Nothobranchius furzeri: one gene and its partner. The protein of the gene in region 2 purifies or fractionates together with the protein of the main gene of each other region. This does not show direct contact. Links are inferred from orthologs where the notes say so. Each region holds a gene or a part of one and is shown on either strand. Other genes may lie near its edges.

Region 1 (11,008 bases), on a different chromosome or scaffold from region 2:
TACGCGTTGTCCACCTAGACAAATGAGTCCAAAAGAAGGGATGAGTTTAAACAGAAGAGAAGAGCGAGTGAGTTTGTGGAAGCAGGACACACCTTGTGGCTCCACCAGGAGACGGAGGTAACGACGTATCGGCCGGTCGGGTCCCATTCTACGTCAGAGGCCATGTAGTGCTCTGCTATGTTCATCAAGGTGCAGTCAGAGGTATCCACGAAGGCTAGAGCGCCGTTCATACTGAACACAGAGGCAAAACAAAGACTTGGTACTGGGGCAGGTGCAAGAGGTGAAAGGTGAAAGAAAAGATACAAGCCTCAGAACAGCATTAGAATCAGGAGCAAAGCTCTCATATGAGGTGTCAGAAAATAAAGTTTATCATCAGCGGCTTTTGAGAGAAAACACACACACACACACACACACACACACACACACCCTACCTTCTGAGTCCAGCCAGCACCATAAACTGTCCCTGGGGGCTCCAGAAAATGCTGTTTGCCTGCTGTTTGTCAAACATTTCTGTAAAAATAATAAAAATTACAAGAGGGAGTAAAGACACTAAAAAAACGACTTTCGCTCATCTGCCCAACCAACTGACTTATGAGCTCGATCTTCCCGTTGTTTTTGACGTGATAGAAGGAAGCGTTGATTCTGGGAGACTCTCCGTGGAGAACAGCAAACTTGCTGCCGTTGGGCTCCCAGGCAAATGCGATGATGCTTTCTAAGAAGACAGGACACGAACGGATCGCATTAGATTACTTCTATAAAATAAAACGGTCAAAAATAGATGCAAAAATGCTTCTTTTTTTTGCTCTCACCCTTCATCTCCACGACATCTACAGGAACCTGCTTCTCTCTCATTCGGAAGATTTCAAAGTTGGTGACAACACCCTGGAACCGAACAGAGATGGGCCTTTTATCGTAAATCCAATAAGATATAAAGACAGTCTATCTCTGGCTGCATACCTGAGTTCCTTTGGGAGTCCTGTCCACTTTCACACACAGATAATCTCCATTTCGCTGCCAGTGCAGTTTGCAGTCAACTACATTGAAGAGATTACGAACTCTGATCTCTTGACGAGACGGCATCTGCATCAGGGTGACTCTAGCTGGGATGTCTTTGTCCTCTGGTACCCAGAACGCTATGATGTTGTCACCAGGAGACCATGAGAAGTCCCTGTGGAAAGACCAAACAAACTCGAGATTCACATCAATATAACAATAAAAGTGTAATAAGCAACAATTCATAACGAGATTAAAAACTCTTACTTGATGCCATTAATTTTGAGACTCTTCTTGTCCAACAGGCCCATTGACTGAAGGGAAAAAACACACCTTTAAAATTAGGGTTGGGCATCATTTGATTTTGAACGATTCTGATTCCAATTCCAATTCCTCGATTCAATTTCGGTTCCTATTGATTCCTGATTCGGATTCTTTCCAGACAGTCCATGTTTTCCATGAGCCAGCTAACCACAGGTCCTACTCGATGAAATAATCTTAACTTCAACATGAATTTTAACTCTATGAACAACAACACCTTCATTTAGACAAAAACATGTTTTGGAGAAAAAAGAAAAACACTTGCAGCACAACCAGTGTGTTTGTTTCTGACCACAACCAAAGTCTGGAGGAAGCCTCTGGGATGAGAGGCTGAATGTCTCCAACATATCCAGAAACGTCCAGCTGTTTTCAGCTAAAAATCTCAGGATGATCATGTCCAGGATGACTGAGAGCTACACCTCCATGCTGCTGCAGCATTCAGTCAGAACAGGAAGTGGAACTTAAATGTAGCTGCTGTCAGTAACAACCTAACAGATTTTAAACATAAAACTCAACAGAAATAGTTCAGAAAGGAAATTAAAATGTTCACAACATTGTGTGTGATTTATTATAGTTATTTATTGTGGCTGGTGTGGTCCACCACAGAGAAGCTGCTCTAGCATGACTTTAATTATTCTACAGGTTATTGTTCAGCCTTCTGACACACACACACACACACACAAACACGCGCATACACACACACGAGTGTTGGTGAGTGGCTGCGTCTGACTGCTGACGCTCCGTGTGTGTTTTTATTTCTGCAGTGAGACAAACTCACCTCACACCATCCAGAGTTTGTTCTTTAAAGCTTCTATTAAATCCACCGTGTTGACGTATTTTAACACGTTTCCTCTACGCTGCAGGAGGTAAAGTTTACGTTACGGAGTAAAAGTTCGGCAGAGGCGTTTGTTTATATTTGGCCGCTGCGTGCAGGGTGGGTGAGGGGAGGAGACTCGGTGCTGCACACAGACAGCTGGTGTGATCAGCTCTGAAAAGCGTTGATCACAGATTGCAGATCACGTTTATTTTTCACGGAGATCAGCCGCGGATTCCTCTTCCGGTCGGCATTCTAGGAATCAAAACTAGGAATCGAAATAAAAAACTTTGAACGATTCCGGGAAAAACTAACAGTTGAAACCGGTTCCAATCGATGCTCGATACCCAACCCTATTTAAAATCATAACTATTATAACTATATATATCATATTTCATTAAAAAAATGGTGCTTCTTAATTTACTTACTGGAGTTTCGTAGATGCTTAACGTGTCTGTGCTCATCCTAGCAAAGAACTTCCCATCATGGCTCCACCTGAGAGAAATCCTGTCCAGTTAAAACACACCCAAACATAAATCTGCATTTAAAATTAAAGAGAAAGAACAAAAGTAGTGTTCTGACTTAAATATGGGCCAGTGTGCCGAGCTCTCGCAGTGGAAGCCTCTCTTCTTCTGTCCAGTCAGAATGTCCCAGATGATGATAGCCTGTGGGTCCTCTTTGGTGTCCATCAGTGGACTGAAGGTGACAACATACCTGCAGGAACCAACAGCACGTTTTATAAAACTCAGTAAAATCAGTTTGGCTAATGCTACCTACAAAGCATGGTTTGTGTTTATCTTTAATGTTTTATTTCCAAGTCACTATAACTAACAAACAGGATCTGCTAAATCACTTTTTCATATTTTATTGATCATATTTTCTATTAAAAGTGTATGCTGATGTGATTCCCCGCCGGAAGAAACATTAACTGCAATAACATAAAAATAAAGATCACTTCTACAAGAAACTAGGCAGTTTTGGCTCGCTTTTAGCACCCCCTAGTGTTTGTAGAACCGAAAGCAAAACTTATCGTCTCGCTGTGCGTTCGTTCTTTTAACACCTTAATCCAACAGCTGAAATGTCTCCCCAGCTTTCATTAGAGTTTATAGGAGTGATCCATCACTAAATTAAACAAATAATCTGTGATCATTAGGGCTGGGCGATATGGACAAAAACTTATATCTCGATATTTTTTAGCTGAATTCCGATATACGATATATATCTCGATATTTTTCCTCCTGTAAAATATTTACAAGTTAACTCACTTCAAGCTGTCTTGACAAATTATAAACATAAATCAGTAGATTAAATGCATAAAAATGTACTGATTCTTGTCAAACTCTAACCTTAGTGCCTACTCTCTACCAGTCTGTGCTTTAGAAACACTGGTACAGCTGTCAGTTAACAAACACACACACACACACACACACACTTGAGAGCTGGAGGTGTATCAAATGTCCCACAGGCACTTTTTATTTATATATATTTATAATTAATGTACAATTAGTCATCTAGAGGTGGCCCATATCGTATATTTATTGCCCAGAGAAAAAAAATCTATCATGTTAAACTAGATGTATGATGATGTAATTGCATCTACTGGGTCACGCACAGTGGAGTTATTAGTTATGAGGGCAAACATGGCTGCAATCTAACAGTATTGACTCATATCAGCGATTATACTGTAGTGACTCAGTCTCTGGTTGCTCTTTTATGGGGAGGATTTGCATGCTATTGTCGCTGTAACCCACACCTTACAAACTCTGAACTTTTTCAACTGAATCGCTCGTAATGGAGTATTTACTAGCATAGCTAACCAGAGCGGAAAAAAATCAGAACAAAATTTCTCACCCGCTGAGCTCGCCTTCAAAATAAAACATTAACCCTATAGTTTACTATTCTACCCTTACAATATGTTTGAGGTGATTTGGCCACTCTGGCTACATGTAGATGTTTCCCGATTACACAGGGGAGGGAGGTGTTTGGCTCGTCTCCGCACGAGCAGGATGGATAAACAGAACTCCGTTGGCGTTGAACGTCCCCAAATAATTAAAAACCAGGACGCCAAATGCAAAGTTTAGAACAGCACATTTACCCAGAGGCTCTCAGATTGAGCAATCTTGTGAGAATAGCTGCTTAGAGACAGAGCGACATGTCCCTAGCATAGCGGCTAATCGCTAGCATAGCCGTTTGACCAGTTAAATCGATACAAAAATATTAAGTCATCTTATATCTTGTTTAATAATTATACAGATATTTAAAAAATATTGATGTATCGCCCAGCCCTAGTGTTCACGATCTAAAACATAAGGGAAAAGGTCCGGAACCAGACTGCAGCGCCAGTTATGTCAGCTCAACTTTTTTAAGTCCCAACAGAAGGAATGTTCTGGCGATAGGGTCTGGGTGGCCTTTCATTAAACCTGTAAAGGGTTATTTCAGCACACACTGGCTCAGGAAAATTATTTAAAAATATGAAGAAGCTGCAAAGTGTCCCACAGAAAGGAAAAAAAAAGTTTGGTGGAAAAAAAAAATTCTCATTACAAATATGATCAACTGAGATCAGACTTGGCAGGCTTTGTGCGGATTACCTCTCACACGGTGAGAAGTCGATGAGCGACACACCCTGATGGCTGAACCTCTGGATCTGTTTGAACTTTTCGCCGCCCCACAATGCAATACCCCGCTGATGGAAAGTAGCCAAGTAAGTGCCTTTAGGAGACCAGCGGACGTACGTCTCTGTCCAGCGCTGTATCCAAACACAAAATCGTTAGGTTTTCCTCACATCACATTAACCTGATTGCTGTTAATAATTACCACCTTACCGCTCTCTCCTCATTTATTATTGGCTCTTTAGCGTCATTTGAGAAAATGGCCGTCCTCTCTCCAGCTTCGTAGATCACACTATACTGATCACGACAGTCAGGATCCTCGATCCAGTGACGCATATTCCCCTGAACAGAGAACAAGAGCAAACTGAGGATGGAGCATAAGGACCTCACAAGAAAATAAAGAGTGGAACTCACAAAATCTTTGAAAGGCTGTTTCTCTGGAGCTTCCCACTCGTCACAAATGTTCATGTACCTAAATGTTTCAAAAAAGATGAAATGAACAACTTCAGTCAGGCTTGTGTTAGTTTAACAAATCTATTGGCCTATTCTGCAAACATACTTATCAAAGTCAGTGAAGAGGTTGACCCTGAACGTGTGCTGTTTGTCGAGTTTGTATCCATCTGCATTCTTCACAGCCTCGAGGGCCTGAGTGGGAGCGGCATACTCCAAAAATATGTACCTGCGCAGAAACACAAGTTAGGTTACACGTATTTGGATTTAAGTGTGGAGCCGTGGATAAACAACGCAAGAAAGAGACAGCTAGGTCGTACCCCTTGGTCATGCCATCAGCCTCTGGGTAAAACTCTGTGGTGATTTTGCCGAACTTGGAGAAGATCTTATGTATGACGTTTTTGAGTTTTTCCAAACGTTCTGGGCCCACCTGAGGAACATTGTCCACCACAACCACAGAGTCTATCCCATCCGCTTCCTGGGGCTTTTCCCGCAGGATGTCATCCAGGAGCTCTGCGGACAAAGAAAGATTAGTTAAGTATGTTCTATGAAACTGGCATTTTTACAGATGCAAACTGTCAAAGAATCGATGAGTATTTGATTAACTTATGTGATAAATTAAATATATATATATAATTTATACAGTCAATACTACCTCAAAACAATTAAGCTTAATTTATTCATTTAAAATTAATTATTCTTGAGAAAACGAATAATTGCCTTTCCATTGTTATTATTATTATTTTTTTTTACATGTTTTTACTTTACAATACCCCCATGTTGTGTTTCTGCAAAAGCCCAGACTAAGTTACACGTTTTGTGTAATTAGCAAATACCTGGCTTATAAACTAGGTGCAACTAGATCGCTCTTGGGAAACTTTCACAAGATTTTATTTTACTTTGGAATTTAAACATCTCATCATCTGAAACTTCTTATATTTTGACGACACATTGCTTTTACAAACTCAAGTTAATTACAATTAAATAAATAGCGTCAAAGTTTTGATTAAACAAGTGAAACTTGTGTTTAATGGAGTAAATTAACGATCACTGCTAGTAAATCTTTTACTAATTATAAAGCCGATCTTAAGTCTAAAACCCAAATAAAAGCTACTGTGGCGGGGGGCGGTTTTGTACTGCTACCAAAATTCGCTTAATGAATTTTAGGCACACCTATCTGAGCAGAAACCTTTAATTTTGCGTTTGACTGTGTAGGTAAAGTCAAGCTGCTCATTTGCAATCGCACACACTCTCCATTCAGCTACAGGAGGATTGTTCTCATGCATTCAGGTCCGTCCCTGCACGTTTTCAAATAGGCCACGCTGAGTAAGCTGTCTGGGGTCTAGGTGAGGCTAACGGGCGTAACGTGTAGCAGATAGCATCAGGGTGGGGGGCTGAGACAAAAAAATGTTGCACCACTATTTCGGTTAACGAAGCTATTATGGACTACTAAACATTTTTATCAAGTTCTGGTGGACCACCGCGTAATATTTCTACCATTTGGAGCATAACCGCTATCGGTCTCTTAGCTAATGGTTAGTTAGCACTAGGCCGGATAGCCGGCGTTTTTCCTGCTACCGCTAACCCTCGTCCTCGATGTCATCGTCGAAGTCCTCCGGATCGCTGAAGGAGGGCTCCTCCTCTTCATACTCAGGGTCGTCCACCATGGCCGCCGTGTCTTGCATCTAGCGTTAGAATAAGTCGTAATTCTCTCGACGAGGGATGAAAATCCCAAAAAATGAGAGGCTAACGAGGAGCGACCGGTGCGGCAGCATGTGCGAAAATGGACGAAGAGACGGAAACGCAGCACCGGAAGCTGCTCGCGAGCGCGTAGACGTGCCGCGGAGAAATGAGTTGTAAGGCACAAGGACCGGAAGCGCGCGGCGGTTTACATTGATGTAGCTCACCGAGTTGTTTAGAGATCAGTGAATTAGGCAGCCATATTTGTTCGACTCACTTCACGCTAAAACAGTGGAGCGACGCGCTGGCGGTGATGAATTTTTCCCGCGAGATGTGCTCAACGATCTAACTTTCATTTTGAGCGAAAAATAAAAACATTTTAATGTGTCATTAAGCAGTGCTCGTTTACAGTAATGCAGCGTTGAGCAGAAGGTCAGTGTAACGTTTATTAACACACGTTTAGTCAGTAGCATGGACCGAGAGTGTGTGACAGTCCTGCCGCGGGTGTGTGAGGTGCTAGCAGCCTCAGGAAGCTCTCTGCCCGATGATACCAGTCTGGAGAAACTCCTGGACTGGTTCACAGCGCTCACCAAGGATGGTCAGTAACAACCTGGAGGGCTTGTGCTCCAGTAGTCACTCAATGTATAAATTACTTTCTCCTACTGCTGATTATTCATTGGTTGGCTATTTATTTATTTATTTATTGTGAACTAATTTTAAATAAAGTAAAATGGAGATGTTTAATTTAAAACAGCCTAATGGATGCAAATAAGGCTGGAAGATAACTGGCAAGCACTCCTATTTGTTTTTCTATTAGATTATAGCGAGTTTCTCTATTAAAATTATATTCAGATAGTCCTAATTAATGTTATATGTCAATAATTAATGTCATAAATGACATTAAAAATACCTAAAGTAACATTCTCCCTTGTACAAAGGACACATGTCTAAGTCAGTTGAAATTGCATTTGGTGAAAGTCTGTAGATACGGAACTGGAGAATAGGTATTACCAAACAGATTCTCTTGAAACCTAACTGAATGTGTTGTTTTCAGATCTAGTTTTCCACAGCTAAGTGTCTAAGTGACACCTTTTTGTTTTGTAATGTCACCTGATGAAGGAGTCTCTCTGCTGGAGGCCTTCCCCTGTCTGCTTGATTTCATACCGACCGTAGTTAACAACAGCCCTGCCTCAGATGCCAGCATCCTCTCCTTCACGCTGAAACTCACCGGCCTAATCTCAGCTACTGAGAATGGCTTTAAAGTTCTTCAGGTAAGTCTCGTAACTCCTGTAATCACTATTCAATTCAATTCAAGTTTATTTATATAGCGCCAAATGACGACAAGAGTCGTCTCAAGGCACTTCACATAATAAACCTGGTCAGGTCAGTTCATTAAGCCAATCAGAAATAATTTTTCATACATAAGGAACCCAGCAAATTGCATCAAGTCACTGACTAGTGTTAGTGACTTTACAGCAATCCTCATACTAAGCAAGCATAAAGCGACAGTGGAGAGGAAAACTCCCTTTTAACAGGAAGAAACCTCCAGAGAATCCTGGCTCAGTATAAGCAGCCATCCTCCACGACTCACTGGGGATCGAGAAGACAGAGCAGGCACACACACACACACACACACACACACACACACACACACACACACACACACACACACACACACACACACACACACACACACACACACACACACACACACACACACACACACACACACACACACACACACACACACCAAGTAGTGTGTCTATAGTTATATTGTGATGTCTTAGTAAATATTCTATTTGGTGAAAGATAAACTTTATTGTATTTGTCCTAGTGGATCTATAATTAAACGGATAAACTAGTAGTAGCACATTCAATGTCAAGGAAAGCAAAAAGTTATTCTCAAACTAAAAGTTACTAAACGGTGTTAAGCTGCCTGTGATGGAGCCTCTCTGTTTTAGGAGCACTCTTTGTGTGACCTGGTGTTTGACCCTCAACGCTGGCAGGAGGCTGGGCTCTGGAAGGATCCTTGTATACGGATAGGTTGGATCCAAGGCTTAAGGACGATGCTGCAGCATTCAAAAGCTCTTGGCTTCTTTGTGCAAGCAGGTACTGATCACTCTCTGAGCAGATGTTTAAATTTCAGATAGAGATTTTTCTCTTTTTATTAAGTAATTTACATCTCCATGTTTTCCTTCTTCAGATTTGATTGAACCACTCCTACACCTTCACACAGACACAAGCCTATTTGTTGCTTCGGCTGCTAATCACATGCTCGCTCACATCTTGCTCTTCTGTCAGTCTGAAAACTCCCAAAACAACTCAAAACACCTGACTGTTCCCGTGGAAACCAAACAGAATTACAGCACTGTTACCGTGAAGCTTTGCGAGTATCTCAAGAAGTCACTAGTTCTCGACGGAACTTCAGCACTGTTTCAGAGTCATCAGGCTCTCAAAGTGCTCGCCCTGCTCCTGAGCCGGGCCGGGCCAGATCTGAGGGACCGACTGCTGCTGACGGTCTCAGACTCTCTGGAGGAACTGGTGACGACCAACTGCAGCCAGCTCACTCGGTCTCTGATGGATGTTGTTCAGGCTGCACACAGGTGTGCCTCTCTCTGCATGCTTAATGTGTGACTTCATGCACAATGCTTCAGCGTTTTCACCTCCTTCTGCTTGTCTCAGCAGCAGTAAAAGTGAGCATCATGCCTTGAACCAGCGTGTTGATCGCCTTTTGTCCATCATGTTGAACACGGGGAAACCTGCGGACCTCTCTTACACTGCAGCTGCTTTTCTCCGCAGCGGGCATGAGTAAGCTTCACACAGCACAGCTTGACCTTCTGCACTGAGCTGTTGGTTCACCAGTAGAAACCATTAGTGTTTAAAGGTGATAGTGACATGTATCGTTCTCCCCCAGTGACTGTGTCCATAAAGCTCAAGCTGCTAGAGTTCTGCTGCTTCCTCTTGACATCATTACTGGACTCAGTCTGTTGGGACAAAACAGCACAGGTAACCCTTACAGGTGTGTGCATTTTAAGACCGAAATATACTTCATGAATTCTTCCCAATTGTTACTGCAGCAGACAAGCTTCGCCTTCCAATGATGGAGTATCTCAAGAGTAAATCTTCCTGCATCTCCATGATTTGTGCCAGTCTAGCAAACACTCCACAGATCACACTCATGGTGAGTTGAAGGACCAGATAGTGAGGCCATCTAATTCTTAGAAAAGTCTCTTAGGTTTTTCTGTCTCTCCTCCTCAGGATCCCGACTGCCTCCCCTGTCCACCAGTTTTAATTGTATCTGCAGTTTTGTCATTATTGAGGCTCTGCAATGGAGACGGCTCCTCGTCCAGTGGCTGTGCTGAAGCTGGCAGGAACCTTATAGGCAGCGGAAAAGTTCAGAAATGTGCTCTTGATGTTCTGTCGGTCCTCAGCAACAGCTCAGGTACGACAACGGGACAATGTCCAAATGTTCAGGTCCAAACAAATCTTCTGTAACTTTAAACTGTTTCTGCTTCAAGCTGGTTACAAATTTTAAAGGGGACATATTTTGACTTTTTTCTTAAGTTGTATTAATACTTTGGTCAATACAAATCATGTTGAAGAAGTATAAAATCACTCACATAAAGCAGTTTCAGCAGTTCTTGACAGTTTCAGTACCTTCCAGAATGAGCAGTTTCAGGGCTCTGTCACTTTAAGAAAACAAGCTGGAGCTGGCCACGCCCCCCCCCCCCCCACTTTGGCTGCTATTGACCCTTTGCACGTGACATCACGTCTCTCACGAACAGCAGAGAAACTTTGTAGGCATGTTGAAACTCCTGTGAAGCTAGCCTAAACAAGCTAGTTTGTAGCCTTTCATCATCAACAGTTTGCTGCAAAGTTGGCTGCATTATCAAGACAAGGACGTAAACCCATATTGTCCCTCTTTAAAGGGATATTCCACTCAAAAGTGAAAATTTATAAGAACATCACGCAGTGGCTCTAAAGACACCTACTTCCATAACACATTATGTTTGTAATTCGAGAAAATGTACCAGCATTTAGCAGTGTCACGCCAACCCATGTCCTTGCGCCTATTGGCGAAAGCTTATAAATGAACTCTATCATTAAGTAGTCCCAAGTCTGAAATAACGCCTGGAATTCC
Region 2 (11,008 bases):
AACCTGAGGAACGAACACAGCAAAGCCATCTTGGCCCGCAGCAAACTGGAGAGTCTCTGCAGGGAACTGCAGAGACACAACCGCACCCTCAAGGTAGCGAGTGCTCCACCTCTGTGCAGGTGCAGCTGCTGCGTGTCATGTTTACGTTTTCATGTCTGCAGCAGCTTTTTAAGCATTCTTCCCTTTTTTAAGTTGGTTCTCACCTCTGCAGGAAGAAGGAGTCCAGAGAACGCGGCTGGAGGAGGAGAAACGGAAGGAGGTGACGTCTCATTTCCAGTCGACGCTGAACGACATCCAGGCTCAGATGGAACAGCACAACGAGAGGAATGCCAGCCTCCGCCAAGAAAACGCTGAGCTGGCAGAGAAACTCAAGAAGCTCTACGAGCAATACAAACTACGGGAGGAGGTCAGCAGGCCGCCTAGCTCCTTTCTGTTTGGCTCCTCGTGTGGATGTGTGTTGACCTCCATCTCATGTCACCCTGGCAGCACATAGACAAGATGGTGAAGCACAAAGACCTGCAGCAACAGCTGGTGGATGCCAAACTGCATCAGGCGCAGGAGCTGCTGAAGGAGTCGGAGGAGCGCCACGACAGAGAGAAAGACTTTGTGAGTTTCTGTTTGTATGGTTCTGCGTCTGATGTCTCTGGTAGTTTCGCATAAGACTAACATCCAGTTTGTTGTAACTCTTTAGCTTCTGAAGGAAGCTGTGGAGTCTCAGAGGATGTGTGAGCTAATGAAGCAGCAGGAGGTCCACCTCAAACAGCAGGTCTCTCTTAAGCTCACTCTTCAGAGTCTCTGCAAAGCAGCTGTCGTCTCACTTCTGCTGTTTTACCTCCCAGCTGTCTCTGTACACCGAGAGGTTTGAGGAGTTCCAGACCACGCTGTCTAAGAGTAACGAGGTCTTCACCACCTTCAAACAGGAGATGGAGAAGGTGGGTGGTTGTGAGGAGAACGTGGATAATTCTGTTGGGTCTACCTGCTCAAACAGGAGCCGTGCTTGCTTTGGGTTCACAGATGACTAAAAAGATTAAGAAGCTGGAGAAGGAGACGACGATGTATCGCTCGAGGTGGGAGAGCAGCAACAAGGCGCTGCTGGAGATGGCTGAGGAGGTAAAGCAGCTCCTGGAGTTTGGATTTGGTTCTCACAGATCTAGAGTGTTCAGAGTAAGGTCGGGCCACTTTGCCGACAGGGTTGGGCGTGTGACGTCATGACACACGGACTGATTTGCGAACCCAGTAGAAGACCGAAACAGATTTTTTTTATGGACACGCGCAGCACGTGTGTTTGCTGGAAGATAATTTTATATTTTTCTTTTTGTTTAACTTTGTATTTGTAGTTTGGTAGAGACGTATAAACGGCCCGTAATAAACACGGTTAAATGTTCAACAGAAGCCTTGCCTTTGCTTCCCTGCGGTGCCCACTGTTGTGGTTTTCATTTAAGCTAAATGTTTCCGTCGGAACAAGAACTTGTGGGGTTCTTTCTTTAGTAAGTAGGGATAAGATCACACCTCAGACAGCTGCGCTTCTCTTCATGCCAATGATGTGCGTTAAACAAGGATCTGACCACGACTGTAGACTCCGTGAAGGCTTTTGCCATCTTCACCCTTTCCTTAACCATTTGGTTGACATGGCAACAATAGGTCAGGGGTCACTGCATGATCACCCACTGCTGTTCCCAGCTGTTTAGATTCAGTTCCACTTTGTTGGAAAACTTTGAGACTTTAGTAGCTGGTTATTTAAAAAGCCACAGCTGTTGACCACGCATCACGACGTTCTGACGCTAGCGCCTTCCGAACTGTTGTTTCACGTGTGATTGAGTCCCAAGCTTCTGTTTCTATTCCCAGAAATCTGTGCGAGATCGGGACTTCGACGCGTTGCAGGGTAAAGTCCAGCGGCTCGAGAAGCTGAGGCGGGCACTTAAGGTGGAGCGAAACGAGCTAAAGAAGAAGGTCCAGAACCTCGGTGGGGCCGCAGGACCCCACACCTCTGACCCAGGGACTGACTCCCCCTCCCCGCCTCCCACGGACTGTCCGCTGGAGGCCAGCACCTGTCCTGTACCAGACAGCTCCTCTGACTCCCCACCTTGCCACTGTGAGCCACAGCTGGACACAGTTGCACTCCCAGAAGAGGCAAACTCCCCACCTGTCCCTGTTCTTGTCCCTGCACAGGAATAAAGCAGGACTGCTTCGTCTCCTCCTCCCTTTCAACGTCCAACCACCAGCCTACAGGCCGCTGGAGCAGCTGATGTTCAACGCTGAGCTGGAATCAGATTTACACCAGATGAGTCCAACAGAAGGGTTAACGTGTGTCCTCCCAGCGTCATCTGCAGACGGGCTTCCTTCACCCCATCCTCTCCAGCTGAAACTAAGCTAGTTCAGATCATTTTATTACAATAACTAGAGTTGTTGCTGAAGGCTTTACTGAGCTGTGTGGGAGGACACCACCTAAGCAGGTTTACCACAGGTGTGTGTGTGTGTGTGTGTGTGTCTTAAGTGTTGTTTTCTTCCATCTCTACCATTCCTTCCTTTAAGTAAGAGCTGTGTGGGACTGTTGAGGGAAGCTTTTCAGTCCAGCCTTTTATCCTTTTTTTATTATGATTTTTTTTGGCAGAGTAAATCCTGGATTATTAAAGAACGTTTTAGAACTAAAACGTTTGAACTCTTATTCATTTGTGTAGTGTTTAAATGTGAGTCTGTATTTATTGTTGAAATCATACAGTCACTGATATCGGGGGTTAAAATAAAGGATATTTTCATTTAAGCTGATCATTTTCATTCATTTTACTCCAAATTTGTCATCCTTACCTCTCCTGGGTTATGTTGCACATTACCAGTTTAGTTATTAGTATTAGCACTTTTATCTCATTTAACTCCATCTTTGTTCCGTGTGTGTGTGGGATGTACCTGTTTATATCTGTGATGGTCCTGGGAACGGCAAAGGCTTCTGGTCAGGTTTATTCTAAAGAATGTCAAAGTTCCTCTATGCAACGCTTGCATCTTGGTTTTATTCTGTGGCCTCGACCCACGAGCACTTAGCTGAGAATGTAATCTCATCATATCCACTGTTCTGCATAAATGTGTCGGGGACGACATATCTCACAGTTTAAGGCCTTTTTCTTCCAAGGGGTTGATACTTTTACATTGGGTGCTTTTGAAATGTGCATTGATCTGAGCCAAGTGAGAAAACTGAGAGGAGAAGTCTAATTTGATTTGGTTTCCTCCAAACACACGCCTGTTTCCCCTGTGCACTACATATGTAGTTTCGACAAAGCAATGCCATCCGAAACAGAAATGCAAATGTTTTTCAGTCTACCATAGGATGTATTCACTGTACTGTTTACTTTTCATATAAACCAAAGATGTCTCCCTGTTGTAGTTTATCTTTTGCAGTATGTTATTTTCTGGCCCTGATTTTAAATAAAATTAGAGTATGTCTGATTTTCTGGCAGATTATTTTTTACAGTGAATTATTTGTGTCATAATGAGAATTTTGAGAACTATGGAGATAATTTATTGTGATTTTTGAGATTTTGTGTCACCATATTTCCAGAATGAAGGGCACAGGACTAATTTTTCTTTTTAAATACTGTATTTGATGACCTTCAAAAAGAATCCAATAAAATCACTGTCAGAAAAGTAAATTTAAGTGACAGAAACTAAACGTAATAAAAGAAACTGGTGAGGAAGGAGTGGTTTCGTGACTGACAGAAATGCAAAATGATTTACAACTTATACAGGAGGGTGGCATGTTATCATACATTATGTTGATAAATATCATGTATGTAGCAGTATTCGGGATTAAATATTCACAAATGAGCTGATAAGGAGCAGGACTGAAACGAGCACAAGTTTGGGATCAAATTACTTTATTTTCTAGATTCCAGAAAGTCCTTCATACCACATTTGTCCAGGAGGGGGCGGCAGGTCGTCCATCTGCGGTTAATACCATCGAAGAAGAAAATGGAAGCCTTCTCTTCCGCCACAGCTCCGGTGTCTGACACATGAGGGTTTAACTTTTCTCCCATTGTGAGGCGCAGCAAATTGACTAAAGCATCTGGAAACACCTAGCTGACGACAATGGTTGGTATATTTATTTACAAGGCAATGTTTACCTGGCGGTTTTCAGTTTTTGTTCTTTAGCTTGTCGCTGTAGTTTGGGGTTTTACTTTGTCTGTTGTGGCTAGCTATAGCTTTTCACGTTAGCTAATGTACATATTCATTTTGGCAGAAGTCTTGAGTTAGCTAAGCTATGAAAGAGATTTCTGTGACTCGTATAGTGTTGGTGCTTTACGCCTAGGCAAGTCAAAGCTACGTTATTCTTTCTTTTTTCAATTAAAACAGTCATGTGTAAATGCTAGCTTAATCTGAACCGTTATCGGTGTTTCTAGAAACCCATTTTGCTCCAGGGCCACGAGAGGTCCATCACACAAATCAAATACAACAGAGAAGGAGATCTGCTCTTCTCGGTGGCTAAAGATACAGTGAGTTGGTACACACTCGCTCTTCTGTCGGATCATTCAACACGACGTTTGGGAGCAGCCAAACTCATCCCTGCTGTTCTGCTGCTATCCAGGTTGCCAACGCGTGGTACTCTGTGAACGGAGAGAGGCTCGGGACCTACAATGGACACACCGGAGCTGTGTGGTGTGTTGACTGTGACTGTATCCTTTGCACCTCTGCCTAATGTAAGCTAGGGGTGTCTGTCAGTGAAGTTAGGCATCTTAACTAGTTGTCTCAGGGGACACAAAGAACGTGTTAACAGGATCAGCAGACAACAGCTGCAGGCTGTGGGACTGTGAGACTGGTAAGTAAACCTTAACAATGTGCTTTTCCAAAGAGGTGGACATGATTTTTAGGGTATTGGGATAGTTTGTAAACCTGACATCATGCTGTCTAAATGACATCTTTAATGTGTTTTCACAGGTAAACAGCTGGCTCTGCTCAACACCAACTCTGCCGTCAGGACGTGTGGGTTCGACTTCAGCGGCAACATCATCATGTTCTCCACCGACAAGCAGATGGGTTACCAGTGCTTCCTGAACTTCTTTGACCTGAGGGATCCACAGCAAATAGGTAAACATTAAATGCGCAAACACACACACGCACACATGTTCTGCAATGGTGTGGCCACAGTATATGGACTGGATATATACCATTTTAAACAAACTTTCTTACACTTTTTGCAATTTTTAATGTCAGTCAGACACCTAAATAAAGTTAATTTAGACCAATCCTGGTCCTGGAGGGCCGGTATCCTGCATGTTTTAGTTTGAACTCTGTTTCAATACTCCTGATTTCAATCAGCAGCTAATTAGCGGTCTTTTGCAGCGCCTGATGAGCTGCTGCACAGGTGTTTCAACCACTGAATCAAGTCTGTAGGAGCAGAAAAACCACAAAACCTGTTGGATACCGGTGTCGGCACAGGATCTGCTCGGGTGCAAAATTGGCTCAGGGTCCGTCGACTGCCGATGACGTCTAAGTAGTTGATTGGCTGCACATGAACCTTACGGAATTACGTAATCACGTTACGTTGTTATCACGTTACGTTGGTCCAGGCAAATCTTTCTGTTGGAAAGATGGACAACTTTTACAAAGAAATCCATCATTACCTCTTTGAAAATACACTTTGAGCATAGAGCTGCATGTATATTAGGGCTGAACGATTAACTGCATGTGTAATTAAATTGCGATGTGACAAAAGGAGATTTTCTAATCGCAAAGGCTGCAATTTGGCAGCGAGTGGTTAGCGCAATGCTAATATACATGGAAAAACCCATAGGAATGCTAATGCTAATATCGCCGATTACATGATCAAATTATGAATTAGAAACGTGCCAAATGATTACATTTGGAGTCTAATAGAAAGTAAAAATACCATCAATCAAATAAGTACAGACAGGTATTTTAGTAAAGCCAGAAAACTTTTAACTCCAGAGTTTTGGCTAGCAGCTATGAGCGTAATGAACTACGCATGGACAAGACGTCAAAAACTCTAAACACAAAATACTTCAATAAATGGGACACACTTCTTTCCTGCAAATACAATTTCACAGGTGTTGCTAATACCTATGATTCTTCAAGGGATGTGCTCAAAGAGGAGTTCAACATCATGACTACAATATAGTGTTTTATTTTACAAATACCATTATAAACACAAACTTACGTCTTAAGAAACATTATTTTAATAAGGAAACTGCTAAATTCTTTCCAACAGTATAGATGTGTACTGTATTTTGTCCGAGTGGGTTTGCCGTACTTTGACGTCATCGGCAGTCGAAGGACCCCGAGCCGATCTTGTACCGACACCGGCCCTCCAGGACCAGGATTGGGCACCCCTGATTTAGAGTATTTATTATGCAGATGTTATTAGTGAATGTTGGGGAAAAAATTTGAATTAAATTCTGCAACAGCACCAGGGTGACTATAGATGTGCCTGACTTTAAATCAGCTTTACTAAGAAAAAACAGCCGATGAATAAAAAACTAAACATTGGCCAACCAATATAATCGGTCCACCCCTAATTCACTCATTCCTTTATTCCATGTAGCAGCTCAGTGGTCACTGTTTTTCAAAATTGCATTGATTCATGTACCAGACTATTAGACGAAGAAATAAGTTAAGATCGTCTAGCCTAGTGAACTAGACCAAATTCTTGCCTTGTAATGTTTGGTGTGGGAACGCTCCACCGGAACTTCTGAGGCCTCCTAGCAGCATTCTGGCAGATGTGTTTTAGTCTTTTATTTAGAAAAAGGATGTATTTTTGCCGCCTTCAACGGCAGACATCCTTGTTTACAGAGGTTGCGGTGAGTACTCCACGTTGTTCGTTGTCCAGTAGGGTGCAATGATTGTTTGAAAGACAACGGTAGAACCCGCCCCACGACAGGCAATGGAACATTAAATAATATTATGGATTTAGTCTGGCGTGCCAGGCTAAAGAACATCCAAAATATCTCAATTTAGAGACTATTTTAAGCTAAAGAAGGTCATAAAAGTGCCAACTATGCTTCTGTTGAAACACACGTAGATTTCCTCAATAACACGTGTGCAGCAACTTTTCCCACACTGAAACATTTCAAAATGAATTGACATGTTTTGTGCACGTGTCCTGAATCAAGTTGAAGATGGTGTGATGTAGGGTCGTCACGGTGTGAAAATGTAGCCTCGCGGTTATCGTAACCAAAATGAAAACGGTATTATCGCGGTATTTTTTTAAACGTGTTACATTTTCAGACAACTAAATAAACCCTGTATGTCAGGAAAATATTGTCCTCAGTTTGTGTCTAAATTTTGCCTAAAACGTGTTATTTTGTAATTATGTTGTTTATTTGTTTACATTTTTCCCCTTTAGTCTTTAAAATACCAATATTTGCCCATAACTTCAAAATTTTTTGTCTGTTTGATGTCATCATTTTAAAAATATTAGACCAGATGATACTCAGTACTCAAGTAGCCTTCTAATCAGATACCGTATTTTCACGACCATAGGGCGCACCGGGTTATAGGGCGCGGGCATGGGCACGTTCAAACGTACCGGTGTCGGTACAGGATCTGCTCGGGTGCAAGATCGGCTCGGGGTCCTTTGACTGCCGATGACGTCAAAGTACGGCAAACCGACTCGGACAAAATACACTACACATCTATACTGTTGGAAAGAATTTAGCAGTTTCGTTATTAAAATAATGTTTCTTAAGACGTAAGTTTGTGTTTATAATGGTATTTGTAAAATAAAACACTATATTGTATTCATAATGTTGAACTCCTCTTTGAGCACATCCCTTGAAGAATCATAGGTATTAGCAACACCTGTGAAATTGTATTTGCAGGAAAGAAGTGTGTCCCGTTTATTGAAGTATTTTGTGTTTAGAGTTTTTGACGTCTTGTCCATGCGTAGTTCAGTTACGCTCATAGCTGCTAGCCAAAACTCTGGAGTTAAAAGTTTTCTGGCTTTACTAAAATACCTGTCTGTACTTATTTGATTGATGGTATTTTTTACTTTCTACTAGACTCTAAATGTAATCATTTGGCACGTTTCTAATTCATAATTTGTAATAATGTAATCGGCGATATTAGCATTAGCATTCCTATGGGTTTTTCCATGTATATTAGCATTGCGCTAACCACTCGCTGCCAAATTGCAGCCTTTGAGATTAGAAAATCTCCTTTTGTCACATCGCAATTTAATTGCACATGCAGTTAATCGTTCAGCCCTAATATACATGCAGCTCTATGCTAAAAGTGTATTTTCAAAGAGGTAATGATGGATTTCTTTGTAAAAGTTGTCCATCTTTCCAATAGAAAGATTTGCCTGGACCAACGTAACGTGATAACAACGTAACGTGATTACGTAATTCCGTGAGGTTCATGTTCAGCCAATCAACTACTTAGACATCATCGGCAGTCGACGGACCCCGAGCCGATCTTGCACCCGAGCAGATCCTGTACCGACACTGGTAAAACATTGTGCGGGCTCGGAGCATATCAGTGCAAACCAGACATTGTGAAAATTATAAACAGCCAAATAATGCTTCACTTTACTGGTCTAGTCCTGGTTTAGAGCGCACGTGCACTTCCTCATTGCGTGTGCTGACGGCTCGTGCTCTTCTAATGGGCTCGACACACGGGAGGCAACTTTGCCTCTCCATTCATTTTCAATGAGACACGCGCGACAAAGCGATAATCGCGTGTCTCCCTCCTGTTACAGCCGGGCGTACACCGGGTGTTCTAAGTACAACCAATGTAATAAAAATGACTCAACGTTCTTCAGCTCAAGAGGTGTCGTGTTTATTTCTCAGCCCGCCGAACTCCTTCTAAACTCCTCCCACTTCAGGCAAGTCTTAAAGGCATACACACTGTATCTATTCACATGACATCTCCCCTCCTTTGAGTCAGAGACGGTGTAAACAGAGTATGTGAAAGAACAAAGTACATCTTTTCCTCAAAGCATTGGAACCCTCTGCAACAGCAACCGACAGTAGGAACATAACATAGATGCTTTTAACCAAAGAGTCAATCACAATAATTACAAACGATCACCCAACACTTTTTTTTTTTTCTTTCTTTTACATGAGAGAAAAAAAAATGGAGGCAACAGGCAACCATACATGCGTCGTTGGGGTGATGGGGTGGACTACCCAAACACCCTTATAGCGGCCGGAGGTTATTCTGCTCCATTTAGGCCGGCTATACGGTTCAATAACAAACAAAGTCCTTGAGCCTCCTGGGGGGCCAAATGACTCTGCCTGTAGAAGACATCCGAGCTGATCCTGGAGGACAATCAGAAAGGCCTGCTGGGACGGTCCCTTGGGCAGGCGAAACAGACTCTTCAGTAGGTGAGGCAGCCCCTCTAACCGGGGAGCCTAAAGGTGTGGGTTGGGGTGTTGATGATGGTGGTGGTGGCTGATCTGCCACACCAGGAAGGAATATTGGTCGTAGATGGCGCCGGTTCCTCCGCAGTGTCCCATGTTCTGTCTGGATCAGGTAGGACCTCGGAGCTGGATGTGGTTGTTGGACCGTTGCCACAGATGTCCAGCCAGAATCACCATCAAGTTTCACCGCCACATCCTGCCCAGGTGTAAGGGGTGGGAGTGCTCTGGCACCATGGCGTCGGTTGTAGGCACGTTCGTAGCTCCTTTTCGCCTTGGCATCGGCTGCACGCACCTTTGCGAAGTTGGGCCACTTAGGCAGCAGAACCTTACCGATTGTAGGTACAGTCGTCTTGATCTGACGACCCATCATCAGCTGGGCAGGACTGGCCCCTGTGGCTTGTACTGGCGTGGCTCTGTAGGCCATGAGAGCCAAAAACGGGTCGTCCTGCCGGAGAATCCTCTTTGCTGTCTGAACAGCCCTCTCGGCCCCACCATTGGCCTGAGGATAGTGGGGGCTGGAGGTGATGTGCCTGAAATCATAGGCTACAGAAAAACCTTCAAACTCTTTGCTCGTAAACTGTGTAGCATTGTCAGTGGTGAGTTCATCTGGACAACCCCACCTAGCAAACATGTTTTTCAGGCGGGAACATACAGGTGCTGGCCAGTAAATTAGAATATCATCAAAAGGTTGAAAATATTTCAGTAATTCCATTCAAAACGTGAAACTTGTACATTATATTCATGCAATGCACACAGACCAATGTATTTCCAATGTTCATTACATTTAAATTTGATATTCATAAGTGACAACTAATGAAAACTCCAAATTTGTTATCTCAAAAAATTAGAATATTCTGAAAAGGCTGAATATAGAAGACACCTGCTGCCACTCTAATCAGCTGATTTACTCAAAACACCTGCAAAGGCCTTTAAAAGGTCCCTCAGTCTTGTTTTGAAGGCACCACAATCATGGGGAAGACTTCTGACTTAACAGCTGTCCAAAAGACAATCATTGACACCTTGCACAAGGAGGGCAAGACACAAAAGGTGATTGCTAAAGAAGCTGGCTGTTCGCAGAGCTCTGTGTCCAAGCACATTAACAGACAGGCGAAGGGACGGAAAAAATGTGGTAGAAAAAAGTGTACAAGCTCTAGGGATAACCGCACCCTGCAGAGAATTGTGACGACAAACCCATTCAAAAATGTGGGGGAGATCCACAAAGAGTGGACTGCAGCTGGAGTCAGCGCTTCAAGAACCACCACGAGGAGACTCATGAAAGACATGGGATTCAGGTGTCGCATTCCGTGTGTCAAGCCACTCTTGAACAAGAAACAGCGCAAGAAGCGTCTCGCCTGGGCCAAGGACAAAAAGGACTGGACTGATGCTGAGTGGTCCAAAGTTATGTTTTCTGATGAAAGCAAGTTCTGCATTTCCTTTGGAAATCAAGGACCCAGAGTCTGGAGGAAGAGCGGAGAAGCACAGAATCCACGTTGCATGAGGTCCAGTGTAAAGTTTCCACCGTCAGTGATGGTGTGGGGTGCCATGTCATCTGCCGGTGTTGGCCCACTCTGTTTCCTGAGGTCCAGGGTCAATGCAGCCGTCTACCAGGAAGTTTTAGAGCACTTCATGCTTCCTGCTGCTGA

Evidence for each region. The genes of interacting proteins can lie anywhere in the genome.
Region 1: the proteins of eif3i (region 2) and eif3ba purify together in Homo sapiens (affinity purification with mass spectrometry; 12 studies listed by BioGRID and IntAct, counting the BioPlex papers as one, with this or other methods). This does not show direct contact. The link is inferred for Nothobranchius furzeri from reciprocal best matches to the Homo sapiens genes EIF3I and EIF3B.

The regions. Positions count from the first base shown.
Region 1 is NC_091744.1:16,235,464-16,246,471, forward strand, and holds the start of eif3ba (eukaryotic translation initiation factor 3 subunit B), read right to left. Parts: upstream 7,002-11,008; 5' UTR 6,873-7,001; coding exon 6,773-6,872; intron 5,701-6,772; coding exon 5,508-5,700; intron 5,417-5,507; coding exon 5,297-5,416; intron 5,210-5,296; coding exon 5,152-5,209; intron 5,080-5,151; coding exon 4,951-5,079; intron 4,875-4,950; coding exon 4,717-4,874; intron 2,843-4,716; coding exon 2,711-2,842; intron 2,624-2,710; coding exon 2,557-2,623; intron 1,308-2,556; coding exon 1,261-1,307; intron 1,169-1,260; coding exon 958-1,168; intron 883-957; coding exon 810-882; intron 713-809; coding exon 590-712; intron 511-589; coding exon 432-510; intron 382-431; exon of another isoform or gene 304-381; intron 232-303; coding exon 93-231; intron 15-92; coding exon 1-14. Other genes in the region: brat1 (BRCA1-associated ATM activator 1), read left to right, coding at 7,339-7,465, 7,987-8,138, 8,829-8,976, 9,071-9,470, 9,550-9,675, 9,782-9,873, 9,945-10,048, 10,126-10,309.
Region 2 is NC_091751.1:3,237,077-3,248,084, forward strand, and holds the start of eif3i (eukaryotic translation initiation factor 3 subunit I), read left to right. Parts: upstream 1-3,940; 5' UTR 3,941-4,077; coding exon 4,078-4,080; intron 4,081-4,388; coding exon 4,389-4,481; intron 4,482-4,573; coding exon 4,574-4,661; intron 4,662-4,738; coding exon 4,739-4,804; intron 4,805-4,923; coding exon 4,924-5,073; intron 5,074-11,008. Other genes in the region: txlna (alpha-taxilin), read left to right, coding at 1-93, 212-406, 487-606, 692-766, 840-932, 1,015-1,110, 1,846-2,175. UniProt on the Homo sapiens protein: Component of the eukaryotic translation initiation factor 3 (eIF-3) complex, which is required for several steps in the initiation of protein synthesis.